Linked DNA regions of Anolis sagrei. The main gene of each other region encodes a partner of the protein of the gene in region 2 in a complex. Links are inferred from orthologs where the notes say so. Each region holds a gene or a part of one and is shown on either strand. Other genes may lie near its edges.

What was found. Proteins that work in one complex are often made in the same cells at the same time.
Region 1: the proteins of ACVR2B (region 2) and GDF2 are in contact, whole or in part, in a crystal structure (PDB 4FAO), measured with the Homo sapiens proteins. The link is inferred for Anolis sagrei from reciprocal best matches to the Homo sapiens genes ACVR2B and GDF2. Residues at the interface, in NP_001097.2 of Homo sapiens: Asn35, Glu39, Cys49, Glu50, Glu52, Lys55, Leu57, Tyr60, Ser62, Arg64, Val73, Lys74, Cys77, Trp78, Leu79, Asp81, Phe82, Asn83, Glu94, Gln98, Val99, Phe101; in NP_057288.1 of Homo sapiens: Arg333, Ile346, Ala347, Pro348, Lys349, Glu350, Tyr351, Glu352, Lys397, Ser399, Pro400, Ile401, Ser402, Val403, Leu404, Lys406, Gly410, Val411, Pro412, Thr413, Leu414, Tyr416, His417.

Annotation. Positions count from the first base shown.
Region 1 is NC_090023.1:142,237,101-142,244,476, forward strand, and holds the start of GDF2 (growth/differentiation factor 2), read right to left. Parts: upstream 3,110-7,376; 5' UTR 2,956-3,109; coding exon 2,619-2,955; intron 1-2,618. UniProt on the Homo sapiens protein: Potent circulating inhibitor of angiogenesis. Signals through the type I activin receptor ACVRL1 but not other Alks. Signaling through SMAD1 in endothelial cells requires TGF-beta coreceptor endoglin/ENG.
Region 2 is NC_090026.1:122,946,407-122,954,289, reverse strand, and holds the start of ACVR2B (activin receptor type-2B), read right to left. Parts: upstream 3,208-7,883; 5' UTR 2,438-3,207; coding exon 2,386-2,437; intron 1-2,385. UniProt on the Homo sapiens protein: Transmembrane serine/threonine kinase activin type-2 receptor forming an activin receptor complex with activin type-1 serine/threonine kinase receptors (ACVR1, ACVR1B or ACVR1c).

The DNA.
Region 1 (7,376 bases), on a different chromosome or scaffold from region 2:
AATATAGTTCTGCAAAATGTAGGATGCATTGTAGACACCCACCTCTGCTGAAGCACAATAAAAATCCCAAAGTGAGACTTAGGGCCCTTCTACACTTACTTAAAACCTGGGAGGAAGCAGGTTAAAATAAAATATTTTGAGAAGACATGATCCACAAGAAGAGACAATAATGCTTGATAAAGGGGAGGGCAGTACAAAAAGAGATAGTCTCTCAGATGAGTAGACTTCACCAAGGAAGTCACAATGTTATTGAGAAATTTATTAAACACAAATGAACAGAGATGAATTAAACATGAATTTATTTTATTTTTTATTTTACCAATTTTGCAATTCCAAAATGCCTCTCCACCTCAACTCTGGAAAAGTCCAGGCAGCTATATCTCCTCTTGTGTATGAAATCAACTTTTATGAAATTGTATGACTTATATCAAATGAAATCAACCCTTAAAGTATATCTGGAACTGCAAATCTATATAAAAAGACTTAATTAATCTCAGTCCTTGGGACAGGAAGTGGGCTAAACGGGTAATGTATGCAAGCCTGGAGTACCCAAGTCTCACTGATGGGATATATTGTGCTTATGTAAAATGCAACCCCCTTTCATTGTCAACAATTAAATGAGTTCCTCCAGAACTGCAAGCACTATCTCAAGCAAATTTCGACAATTTATTCACACTGTCATTACTTGCAGCAATACCCAATATAGTGGAAGCAACCAATTTCCTCAGGATGCCCCTGGAAGAGTCAGCACATGCAATGACCCCTGCCAAAAGATGTGTGATGGTGATAGCGGACCAGAAACAGTGGTTTGCAGATGTGACAGGATGACCCAAGAGTGTGCTGTCTTCCTAGATAAAAAATCCAAGATGTAACCAAAAGGATGATAAGGCTTGTAAAGCCTACAGACCATTACTCCTTCCTTTTGGTTCATGTGGGAACCAATGACACTACAAGAAATAGCCTTTGAGAGATCACATGGGATTATGAGGCCATAGGAAGTAAGTTGGATGGGCCTTGAATCCCAGTTCATCTTCCTCCCACTTTAAGGAAACAACCCAGGAAGGGAAAGGATAATAGACGTGAATAACCTTATCCTCAGATGATGGAACTGTTTGGCTTCTGAGTCCATGGTCTATGGTTTACTTGCATTGAGCTTCTGTCAAGGAATGGCTTGTGCCTCAGAGAGATTAGCAGGAAGATTTTTGTGAAGAAATACACAAACCTGACCAGGAGGGCTTTAAACGCTGCTATCTGAGGGAGACTGCTAACTGGGACTGTCTACAGGCAGTGTACAACTCCACTGTTACAACAGGTCTTATGGCTGCTAATACATTCAAATTGCAGGTTTTGACCTATAAAGCCTTATATGTCTTAGGTTATCTGAAGGACTGTATCTCTTTCTATGAACCTCTGAGGCATCTACAATCAACACGCGACAACCTTCTCTCTGTACCATCACCTGCTCAAGTGTGTTTGGTGGGAACACAGGAGAGGGCCTTTTCGGTGGCTGCTTTTATACTGTGGAACCCCCTCCCAAGAGAGACCAAGATAGCTCTGTCCCTGCTTGCCTTCCTCAAGACTTCCTGGCCTTTCTCTGTCAGCAGGCATACTTGCTAAATCCATAATATTGCTAAATCCATAATATTTTGATTGTTCTGCCATCTAATTTTGATTTATTCCACTTCTTCCTAGATTGTGATTAATACTGATATTATTAAGGTATATTCATAGAATCATGGAAGAGACCTCGTGGGCCATCCAGAGCAACCCCCTGCCAAGAAGCAGGAAAATCATATTCAAAGCACCCCTGACAGATGGCCATCCAGCCTCTGTTTAAAAGCCTCCAAAGGAGGAGCCTCCACCACACTCTGGGGCAGAGAGTTCCACTGCTGAACAGCTCTCACAATCAGGAAGTTTTTCCTAATGTTCAAGTGGAATTCCCTTGGAGTTTTTTTTTTAAGTATTCCTATTCACATAGGTGAAGCAATGAAAATATTTCTAGTTGCCTCCTGTGGTTTGCAAAAGAGAATTACCAATAGCTAAGAGTACTTTCTTGATAAGTTGTACTAATTATGAACTTTTTGATGCATCTCAATTTGGTCACTGCTGAAAGTATAACTCTTTGGTTTGGAGGTGGGATCATTGTTATCTGCCATAAAGCTCAGAAAGGTTGGCCTTCATTCCTATTCTATTCTATGGCCACTGAGGCAGAACTTTTCTCACATTTCCCTTTGTAACATCTGAAAATTACATTGATTCCTTTTATGTCATTTAATATGGACTAGACATTTTCCTAATATGTGGAGATTGTTCCAGTCTGAGAAAATGGTTTTTACACAGATTTTTTTTCTTTTCTATTAATTTCTTTCTATCTAAATGAGCTGGAGGAGAAATAAGGTCAAAAATATTATTTTCCTTAGTTTCATGCATCCAACTCCTTAAGATTTTTTAAATGGCTATTTCACAAATAATATAAGAAAACAGATGACACAAAATTGTTAGTAGAGCATTTAAAAAAAACAATTAAGATTTCCTGGGAACACAAGGCACTAAGATGCCTGGGGAAGATCTTAGCCTAGATGTTTGGGTTGAGGGTGGGGGAAAGCCAAAACTCCTACCTTCAGGACTGAAGCTGCGCACAATATTGGATATGGGGCTGGTAGACTTGTCCTTGCTATATCTATTATACAAATCAATCATGAATTGTGGTGGTTCCTCTTTCATCTTCTCTTCTGAAGGTACTTCTGACAAGTTCAAGTTCCTCAGGAAATCAGCTTTCAAAGTCTCCAGAAACGATTTAAAGTCAAATTGGGCTTCTCCCTCCACGCTCCCAATGTCACCAGAATATTCATGGGAGTTTGGGGTTGTAAGTAATCTGTCCCGGGCTTCCATGGGTTTCCCACTTGTCAAAGGTATCATGATGTTTAGAAGAGTGAAGGCCCCGAAATAATACATTTTTCATGAATCCTGTTTTAAACGAGGGTATAATACAGTAAGGATCCAGGGGAGCAGGCTGACTGAAGTCTGAAATGCAAACACAGAATGCCAATGGCTGACCACTTTCTCAAGCTGCATTGCAGCCGTGTTTTTTCCAGTGCTAGCCCCTTGTGAATCATCAAGCAGATTGGCCATACACTTGCCCTTATCTTGACCACAGTCTCTTATCTATCCGCGCTCTTCACTAATGAATATTCTGTAAACATAAGACAAGTACATATGGTCGGTAGAAGCACATAGCACCCAGAAAAGAATCCATGTTCCTCTTTGCGGTCACCATTGCCTAATTATGTTCCTTTATCATTTTCTTGCCAGCAAACAATATTCATTTTAAGATGTCTGGGGGAAGGCATTAGGACGAAGTTTCCTCTTGTTTCCCACAGCATACAGAATTAAGATAAAAAGAAAGAAATAATACCTGTTCTAAAATATCTTGACATACCATTCAAAAAGTCACATATGTAGGAGCTTTATTGTGGCAAGAAATAATCCCATTATTGTTAAATAAACGTTTAAATATTTTCATTTCTCAGTCAAGTGACTTGCTGTTGTTTGTGGGGGGGGAGGGGAGTCTGATCGGGTTGCTATGAGTTGCAACCCAATCAGGTTGCTGATCGGGTTGCTGATTGGGTTGCTTCTGGAACATGGCTCTATGGCCATGTTCCAGAAGCATTCTCTCCTGAAAATTTTCCCACATCTATATATATAAATTTGTTAGGGGCATCCAACGAGGAAACAAAACTCAAAAACCCCCCAACGAAACTTAACCAAAATTCCCATGCCCATAACACAACCCACAAGGTACAAACATATCTACTCAAAATGAAAAACAACACAACAACACACTCACAAAACGGCAAAACAACAAAACTCAAAAAAACCCCAACGAAACTTAACCAAAATCCCCGTGCCCATAACACAACCCACAAGGTACAAACATATCTACTCAAAATGAAAAACAACACAACAACACACTCACAAAACGGCAAAACAACAAAACTCAAAAATCCCCCAATAAAACTTAACCAAAATCCCCGTGCCCATAACCCAACCCACAAGGTACAAACATACCTACTCAAAATGAAAAACAACACAACAACACACTCACAAAACGGCAAAACAACAAAACTCAAAAATCCCCCAACGAAACTTAACCAAAATCCCCGTGCCCATAACACAACCCACAAGGTACAAACATATCTACTCAAAATGAAAAACACACACTCACAAAACAGCAAAACAACAAAACTCAAAAATCCCCCAACGAAACTTAACCAAAATTCCCGTGCCCATAACACACCCCACAAGGTACAAACATATCTACTCAAAATGAAAAACAACACAACAACACACTCACAAAACGGCAAAACAACTGAGCATGCGCATTGGCGCCCAGCCACAAGTTCCCTGGCGCGCGCACATGGCCTTCCGGCCAACGTTCCCTCTGCGGAAACCATTCCCACTCCAAGCCCCGCCGTGCCGCTTCCCGCACACACACACACCCTGCCGCACACACACACGCAACCCCACGCTCCATCACTCCCCCCGCCGCCGCATACACACACGCAACCCAACTCCCCCCGTCGCCACACACACACACACGCAACCCCACGCTCCATCACTCCCCCCACCGCCGCACACACACACAACCCCACGCTCCATCACTTCCCCCGCTGCCGCACACACACACGCAACCCCACGCTCCATCACTCCCCTGCCCCAATCTTACCGCCTTTTACTTCACGCCACCTCCAAACCCCACCCCGCCCCTTCCCGCCCTGTCAAAATCTAGGAAAGACAGGAAGGAAGGAAAGAAGGAAGAAAGAGAAAGGGAGGTAAACAAAAAGGGGGAAGGAAGGAAAGTTAGAGGAAGAAGAAAAGGAAAGAAAAGGAAAGATGGAAGGAAAGAAAAGAGAGACAGCAGAAGAGAAAGAAAAAGGGGGAACTAAGGAAAGAGATAGAGAAAGAAGAGGAGAAGGAAAGATGGGAAGGAAGGAAGGAAGGAAGGAAGGAGGGAGGGAGGGAGGGAGGGAGGGAGGGAGGGAAAGAAGGAGAGAAGGAGGGAAGATTGGCCACAGCAACACGTGGCGGGTAAAGGTTGTTATTTCTATTATTATTATTATGCTATTGTTCCTATGAGACCCTTTTAGGGGGAATGATGGGAGAGGTGTCAGGTCCCGGAGGCAATGCATTGCATTATTGTTATTGTTATGATGGTGGTGAAATAAAAGGAAATAAAAAGTGAAAGAAGGAAGCAAACAGGGAGGGAAGAAAGGCAAAGGAAGAAAGGGGGAAGGAATGAAGGAAAGAGAGAAGGATGAAACCAAGTAGTGAAAGAAGGAAAGAAAGAAAGAGGTAGAGAAGGAAGAAAGGAGAGAAAGGGGGAGGAAAAGGGGGAAGGAATAGGTAGGGACCTCTCTTTCATAATAGTCCAGATATCTACCTCAACTTTGATAAGTTTTACTATAGGCCACAGCAACGCGTGGCAGGGCACAGCTAGTTATTTTTAAAATTTTAACTATTACGTCTGGCCCGGCCATAGGTTTTTAAATCTTTTTGTATTATTGTCTATATGTGAGTTATATTAATTGTATTGTTTATTTGCTTATTGCTTGTTATTTTTACTGATGTGTTGTTGGGCTTGGCCTCATGTAAGCCACTCCAAGTCCCTTGGGGAGATGGTGGCGGGGTATAAATAAAGTATTATTATTATTATTATTATTATTATTATTATTATTATCTATGGTAGGCATCCTCAGAGTTTGTGAGGTCTGTTGGAAACTAGGCAAGTGAGGTTTATGTATCTATGAATCTTCCTGATTTCATATGATACAAGCCACCCTTACTTTGGAGATCTTTTTTAGCTCTATATAACAAACAACATTATTATGGATGCCTGTTTGTATGTGTGTATCAGCTTCATTTGTATGCCTTTGTATGTCTTCTCCCAGAATAAATTTTAAAACTATTTAAATCACTACATAAAACAATAAAATAATGTAAAAAAACATACAAAGTTTAAAAAGACAAATAAAAGCTCTTACTAAAAAAAAACTTCCTGGCTTATATATTTCAAATCTGCTTAAACGAAAAGGCCTTTGCCTGCTGGGAAAAGAAAAACAATGAAAGGGCAAACCTAGCTTCCTGCAGAAGATGGCAGCAGCCACTGAGAAGACTATTTTGTCCTCACCAAGCGAGTGTGCAATGTTGGGAGACTGAGCGCAAACCTTCGTCAGAACCATAGTAGACTTGTGTGAGGAGACATATTTTTTTCACTAGTCTTGATCTAAGCCACAGAGGATTTTATAGGTCTTGATCAACACTATGAATTGGGCCCAGAAATGAACTGATGACCAGTGCAACTGTTTTAACAAGGGAATTATATGCTCCGTATAACTGACCACAGCCATCATTCTGGCAGCAATACTTTGGACCTGCTGAAGTTTCTGAACAGTTTTCAAAGACAACCCATGTGGAGCACATTATATTGCTCCAAAGAGAATACAATCCAGGCACGTGTCACTGTAGCCAGCTCTGATGTCTTAAGGAGTAGGCATCACTGGCACATTAGTTTTAGCCAGGGGCGGCTCAACCCATTACGCAAAGTAAGCATTTGCAGTATAGTTGATTTTGCCCAGGGGCGCTCATGAGGCGCTCTTGAGGGGGGAAAAAAGCCTTGACATATGCAAGTTGTAGTTACTGGGATGTATAGTTCACCTACAATCAAAGAGCATTCTGAACTCCACCAATGATGGAATTGAACCAAATATGGCACACATAACTCCCACCACGAACAGAAAATATATATCAGTGATTGGTTTTGGGGGGGGGGGGGCAAAATACTGTTTGCTTACCGTTGAAAATTATCTAGGGCCGCCTCTGGTTTTAGTTGTGCAAATGCACTCCTGAGCACTTCTGAAACTTTGAATGCTAAAAACACTTTGTCTAACATGTTGTTGTTCATTCGTTCAGTCGTCTCCGACTCTTCGTGACTTCATGGACCAGTCCACGCCAGAGCTCCCTGTCGGCCGTCACCATCCCCAGCTCCCTCAAGGTCAGTCCAGTCACTTCAAGGATGCCATCCATCCATCTTGCCCTTGGTCGGCCCCTCTTCCTTTTGCCTTCCACTTTCCCCAGCATAATTGTCTTCTCTAGGCTTTCCTGTCTCCTCATGATGTGGCCAAAGTACTTCAACTTTGTCTCTAGTATCTTTCCCTCCAGTGAGCAGTTTGTCTAACATAATTATTAGTAAAGTTAGCTTTAATTTTAACTATATCATACCATAGGTACCACTGCATCCATATTCTCAGATTTTGATAGCCTTGTTTCCTGAACTGACATATGCCTGTACATAGAATAATAGAATAATAGAGTTGGAA
Region 2 (7,883 bases):
CCCTTTCCTAAAGGGGAAATTATGCACCACAACACCAGGAAGATCTCTCCCTCTTTCTCTCCCTTCTTTCTCTCCCTTCTTTCTCTCCTTTTCTTTCTCTTCCTTCCTCTTTCTTACTTCCTTCCCTCTTTTTTCCATGGCTTACTTGTACACAAACTTTCCAACCAAACAAGGCTCTCCTTCCAAAAGAACAAGAAGGAACAATCCACAATAAGAACAATCCCTTTCCTTTAGATATAGATAGATGATTATTATGCATGTAGCCTTTCCTAAAGGGAGAATTATGCACACCAACACCAGGAAGATCTCTCCCTCTTTCTCTCTCTTCCTTCTTTCTCTCCTTTTCTTTCCTTCCTTTCCCCCTCTTTTCCATTACTTTCTTGTACACAAATTCCCCCAAAGGAACCTTCCAACCAAACAAGGCTCTCCTTCCCAAAAAAAACCCAAGAAGGAACAACTCACAATAACAATAAGAACAACAACAATCCCTTTCCTTTAGATATAGATAGATAATTATTATTCAAGTAACCTTTCTTAAAAGGGGGGAATTATGCACCACAACACCAGGAAGATCTCTACCTCTTTCTTTCTCTTCCTTCTTTCCTTTTCTTTCTCTCTTTCCCTTCTTTCCTCTTTCTTTCTTTCTATTCTTCTGCTTTTCCATTACTTACTTATACACAGAGTCCTCCAAAGGAACTTTCCAACCAAACAAGAAGGAACAACCCACAACAACAACAATCTCTTTTCCTATAGATTTAGATACATAGATAGATAGATATTATTCAAGTAGCCTTTCCTAAAGGGGGAATTATATACCACAACACCAGGAAGATCTCTCCCTCTTTCTCTCTTTCCCTTCTTTCCTCTTCCTTCCTCCCTTTCCCCCTCTTTTCCATTACTTACTTTGTATACAAGTCCCCTCAAAGGAACTTTCCAACCAAACAAGGCTCTCCTTCCAGAAAACAAGAAGGAACAACCCACAACAACAACAACAACAACAACCCCTTTTCCTATAGATTTAGATACATAGATAGATCATTATTATTCAAGTAACCTTTCCTAAAGGGGGAATTATACACCACAACACCAGGAAGATCTCTCTTTCTTTCTCTCTTTCCCTTCTTTCCTTCCTTCTCCCCTCTTTTCCATTACTTACTTGTATACAAAGTCCCCCAAAATGAACTTTCCAACCAAACAAGGCTCTCCTTCCAAGAAAACCCAAGGAACAACCCACAATAACAACAAGCCCTTTCCTTTAGTTATACAGATATATTATTATTATTATTATTATTATTCAAGTAACCTTTCCTAAAGGGGGAATTGTGCATCACAACACCAGGAAGGTCTCTCCCTCTTTCTTTCTCTCCCTTCTTTCTCTCCTTTTCTTCCTTCCTTCCTTTCCCCTTCTTTTCCATTACTTACTTGTATACAACGTCCCCCAAAAGGAACTTTCCAACCAAACAAGGCTCTCCTTCCAGAAAACAAGAAGGAACAACCCACAACAACAACAACAACAACAACCCCTTTTCCTATAGATTTAGATACATAGATAGATCATTATTATTCAAGTAACCTTTCCTAAAGGGGGAATTATACACCACAACACCAGGAAGATCTCTCTTTCTTTCTCTCTTTCCCTTCTTTCCTTCCTTCTCCCCTCTTTTCCATTACTTACTTGTATACAAAGTCCCCCAAAATGAACTTTCCAACCAAACAAGGCTCTCCTTCCAAGAAAACCCAAGGAACAACCCACAATAACAACAAGCCCTTTCCTTTAGTTATACAGATATATTATTATTATTATTATTATTATTATTATTATTATTCAAGTAACCTTTCCTAAAGGGGGAATTGTGCATCACAACACCAGGAAGGTCTCTCCCTCTTTCTTTCTCTCCCTTCTTTCTCTCCTTTTCTTCCTTCCTTCCTTTCCCCTTCTTTTCCATTACTTACTTGTATACAACGTCCCCCAAAAGGAACTTTCCAACCAAACAAGGCTCTCCTTCCAGAAAACAAGAAGGAACAACACACAACAACAACAAGATCTCTCCCTCTTTCTTTCTCTCTTTCCCTTCTTTCCCATTACTTACTTGCATACAAAATCCCCCAAAAGGAACTTTCCAACCAAACAAGGCTCTCCTTCCAAGAAGGAACAACCCACAATAACAACAACAAGCCCTTTTCTTTAGATATTATTATTATTATTGTTGTTGTTGTTATTATTATTATCCAAGTAGCCTTTCCCAAAAGGGGAATTATACACCACAACACCAGGAAGACCTCTCCCTCCCTCTTTCTTTCTTTCTTTCTCATCCCTCTTTCTTTTCTTTTCTCTCCTTCCCTTTCTTTTCTCTCTTTCTTTTCCCCTGCTTTCCCATGACTTACTTGTACACAAAGTCCCCCAAAGGAAGGCGAAAGTGAGCCACGGCACCCTCATATTCCTTTTTCTCCTCGTGGTGCTTGTTTACTCCGCTTTCAAGGGGAGGAGGAGGAGGAGGAGGAGAAGGCAAGCAAACTCTCCAAGAACGGCAAGATCCTCTTCCAAACAGATACAGAGTTATCAATATATGTGTCAGGGGAAAAATATCCAAAGGTTCCCTTTCAATAACAATAGTATCTTTGAGACTAAATCCTTTCCCGGCTGCGTCCAGGTCCAAGAAGGGGAGAGAAGAGTCTTTTTAAATCCTCAAAAAGGGGGGGAAAGAATAGTCCAACCCGAGCGTGAGAGCCTGGACTCTTTTGCTTTTTTCCTTCCTTCCTTTTGGAGGTAAAGAGAGGAATCCTTCCAAGGATGGGGATGGGGAATCAACGCAGTAAATCCGGCCGCAAGGAAGAAGAAGAAGAGAAGGAGGAGAAGGCAATGGAGAAGCAAACTTTGCAGAAAGGGGGATCCAGGGCTGAAGCAAGGCGACGAAAAGGAGGAGATTGAGGAGGAGACCCGGCGCCGCTGCCGTCCGCTCCAATGGTGGTTCTGAACAGAGCCAAAGGCGAGGAGGGAAGCGCCAAGCCGGTGCCTCTGCTGCTCCTGCTCTTGCTCCTGCTGCTGCTGCTGCTATTGTGGCTCCTGTTCCTTCTGGAGAGGAGGGCGAGGAAGAAGAGGAGGAGGAGGAAGAAGGAGAAGAAGGCTGCCGGTCCGCTCAGAGGCATCGCTCGCTTGGCTTTGGCGCTCGGGGGGCGAAAGGGGGGCGCGCGGCTGGGAGAAGGAGGAGGGGGAGACGCGGGAGCGCGCGCGGGGGGGGAAAGGGGGACGCGCACGCGCACAGGCTCAGCCCCGCGCCCCTCCTCCGGGATCCCCCTCCCTCCCTCCTTCCCTTCGCGTGCACGCGCGCGCGCTCCCAGGCTGAGGTTGCTCCTTCTTCCTCCTCCTCCTCCTCTTGTTTTCCCCTCCCCTTGAAAGGAAGGAGGGAATGTTTACATAGTATCTCTCTCTCTCCCTCTCTGTGTATATATGTGTGTGTGTGTGTATATATATATATACATATACATATATACATACATACACACACACACACACTATCTGTATCTATTTATATAGATAAATATATATAAAATATATAAATATAAAAACTCTAAAATTACAACAGCACAACAACAGAGAGGAAACAAGCAAGGACATTAACCACCTCTCAACAAAAGTTTGCTGTGTGTGTGTGTGTGTATATATATATATATATATATACACACACACACACACTATCTGTATCTATTTATGTAGATAAATATATATAAAATATATAAATATAAAAACTCTAAAATTACAACAGCACAACAACAGAGAAGAAACAAACAAGGACATCTAACCACCTCTCAACAAAAGTTTGCTGTGTGTGTGTGTATATATATACACACACACACACACACACTATCTGCATCTATTCATATAGATAAATATATATATAATATATAAATATAAAAACTCTAAAATTACAACAGCGCAACAACAGAGAGGAAACAAACAAGGACATCTAACCACCTCTCAACAAAAGTTTGCTCTGTGTGTGTGTATATATATATATATATATACACACACACACTATCTGTATCTATTTATGTAGATAAATATATATAAAATATATAAATATAAAAACTCTAAAATTACAACAGCACAACAACAGAGAGGAAACAAGCAAGGACATCTAATCACCTCTCAACAAAAGTTTGCTGCATGTGTGTGTATAGATATATATACACACACACACTATCTGTATCTATTTATATAGATAAATATATATATATAATATATAAATATAAAAACTCTAAGATTACAACAGCACAACAACAGAGAGGAAACAAACAAGGACATCTAATCACCTCTCAACAAAAGTTTGCACCAGGCACTGTCAGGCTGTTATATGCTAATCAAGGTGGTCAGTTGAAACATTCACACCTAGCTCCAGCAGACAAGAGTCCTTTGTCCCACCCTAGTCATTCCACAGATATATAAACCCATTTTCCTAGTTCCAACAGACTTTACTATCTCTGAGGATGCTTGCCATAGATGCAGGCGAAACGTCAGGGGAGAATGCCTCTAGACCATGGCCATATAGCCCGAAAAAACCTACAACAACCCACAAATAGGGCTGATATATATATAAATAGATAGATAGATAGATAGATAGATAGACAGATAGATCTCCACACACACATATTATATATTTGTATACAGACATTTATATACACATATTGATCCACACAGGACCTTTATATATATATATATATATATATATATATATATATATATATATATATATAAAAGGTCCTGTGTGGATCAATATGTGTATATAAATGTCTGTATACAAATATATAATATGTATATATATATGCGTGTGTGTGTGTATACACACGTACACTTGAATAGGTATATATATATATATAATATATATATATATATATGCATGTGTGTGTGTCTACACGTACACTTGAATAGGTATACAGGCGCACGCACACATGCACACATACACACACACATATACCGACACACACAAACAGGACCTATATATGCACACATACATACACACACACACAAACAGGGCCAATATATATATAGATAAATCTCCACACACATATTATATATTTGTATACAGACATTTATATACACATATTAATCTACACTGGACCTTGATTTTTTTTTTATATATATATATATATACACACACACACACTCAAAAAGGACCTATTAGGAGTGTGTGTATGTGTATATATATATATATATATATTAGGGCTGGGCGGTTTCGTTTCGTTAATTCGTAATTCGTTAATAATTCGTTAATTTTTTCAATTACAAAACGATAACGAACCATTCTGGAGCAATTATTAAAAAAAACGAATTTTCAAAAACGTTTTGTAAATGCTTCGTATTTCGATATTGTATTCGTTTCGTTATTGTTTTGAGGTCGTTTCGTTATTATTTCCGCATGTCTGGGCCAGTTTTATGGTTTAATTAGTGAAAAAAAATTATAATATCACACCAACAGTCAACAACAGAGGGAGAGGGAAGCTTCAGAAGGTTTTGGAGGTTTTTTAGCGTATTTCGCGGTCGCGTCCGCCATTAATGAATTGATTCGTTATTGTTTCGGAAATCGATTCGTTAATTTTTTACCATTTACGAAATTTCGTAAATATCGAACTTTTTAAAAGGAAAATTTTGTAATTATTTTAAATATCGAAACAAAAAAAAACCCCCAAATACAAATCGATTTTAGAAACAAATTTTTCCGTTGTTACCCAGGCCTAATATATATATATATATATATACACACACACACACACACATACACACATATATAGTATATGTGTGTGTGTATATATATATATATATACACACACACATATACATACACATACAAGCACATAAATGCATACACACACAGCACACACAAGGATGCTAATATATATGTGTATATATATAATATAATATATAGATAGATACACACACACACACGAAAAGGACCTCAATATCTATCTCTCTATATATATATATTACACACACCCATTACATATCTCACCAGAATTACTATGAGCTGTTAAATAGTGTATTTAATATTTAATATTTTTTTATAATAATAATATATTTTGGGGAACCCTCTTCTCTATTACTGGACTGTTTCATCCTGTGAAGGGTGTATACATATCCCATAGGAGAAATTGTAATAATAATAATAATAAATACAGAATTATAAGCTATATTTTAGGGAAGATTAGAAAAATAAAAGAAACAAAATTCAGGGTGTAAACTTTGGTAGAAACCCTATATGTATCTCTGTAGGTTTATATATTTATGTGCGTCTATATATATATATTAACACACATATACCTCTCAGTGGGAAAGACCCGGATGTTTGATACAAAGAAAAAGGGGCGGAGTCTCAGAAAGGGGCGGGGTGGTAATAAAGGTTCTGAAGAGGCCGCTGCGTTAGGATTGGCCGGAGGCGCCTGCTCGTCAAGGCGCACGAGGGGGCGGGGCTTGGGTGGAACGCGCGAGGCGCAGAGGGAAGCCAGTCCGAGGGGAGGGGGAGAGAGCGGGAGGCGAGTGCGCGCATGCGCGGCCCCGGATTGTTGTTCTCCCGCGTGCTCCTCTTGCAGGGTCTCCTTCCTTCTGTATAAGGTTCTGCTCCTGAAGTCCCAGCTAGACTAAGAATTGATTGCATCTACACTAAAGCAAATTGTTAGGAATTGTGGGAGTTGAAGTCCAAAACACCTGGAGGGCCCAAGATTGCCCATGCCTGGTCTAAACATCCACTTAGGTAGATCTATAAACAGAAAGATACAGATAGATATGTAGAGGTGATTAGCAAACAACTAATTTTGGCATCTTGCAATTGCTAAAGATGAAATTGAGTGGGTTGCTGCAAGTTTTTTGGGCTGCCTGGCCATGTTCCGGAAGCATTCTCTTCTGACATTTTGCCCACATCTATGGCAGGCATCCTAAGAGGTTGTGGGATCATAGAATCAAAGAGTTGGAAAAGACCTCATGGGCCATCCAGTCCAACCCCCTGCCAAGAAGCAGGAATATTACATTCAAATCATCCCTGACAGATGGCCATCCAGCCTCTGTTTAAAAGCTTCCAAAGAAGGAGCCTCCACCACACTCCGGAGCAGAGAGTTCCACTGCTGAACGGCTCTCACAGTCAGGAAGTTCTTCCTCATGTTCAGATGGAATCTCCTCTCTTGTAGTTTGAAGCCATTGTTCCATTGCGTCCTAGTCTCCAAGGAAGCAGAAAACAAGCTTGCTCCCTCCTCCCTGTGGCTTCCTCTCACATATTTATACATGGCTATCATATCCCCTCTCAGCCTTCTCTTCTTCAGGTTAAACATGCCCAGCTCCTTAAGCCGCTCCTCATAGGGCTTGTTCTCCAGACCTTTTATCATTTTAGTCGCCCTCCTCTGGACACATTCCAGCTTGTCAATATCTCTCTTGAATTGTTGTGCCCAGAATTGGACACAATATTCCAGGTGTGATCTAACCAAAGCAGAATAGAATATGTTGGAAACTAGTAAAATTGGGTTTATATATCTGTGGAATAATGTCCAGGGTGGGAGAAAGATCTCTTTGTCTCCTTGAGGCAAGTGTGAGTGTTGCAATTGGAACAAGGCAGGAAACAATCAGGGCCAGCTAACACCCTGATTGTTCAACGTATTGTCGAAGGCTTTCATGGCTGGAATCACTGGATTGTACTACCTTGATTAGCATTGAATTGCCTTGCAGCTTCAAACCCTGGGTGCTTGCTGCCTGTGAGAATCCTTCGTTGAGAAGTGATTAGTTGTCACTAATTGTTTCTGGTTTTGTTCCAGTTGCAACATTCAAGCAGGGAAGAGTTCTTTCTCCCACCCCTGTCTTTATTTACTGTTATGATGATTAGACAGGAAACAATTAGGGTGGGTTG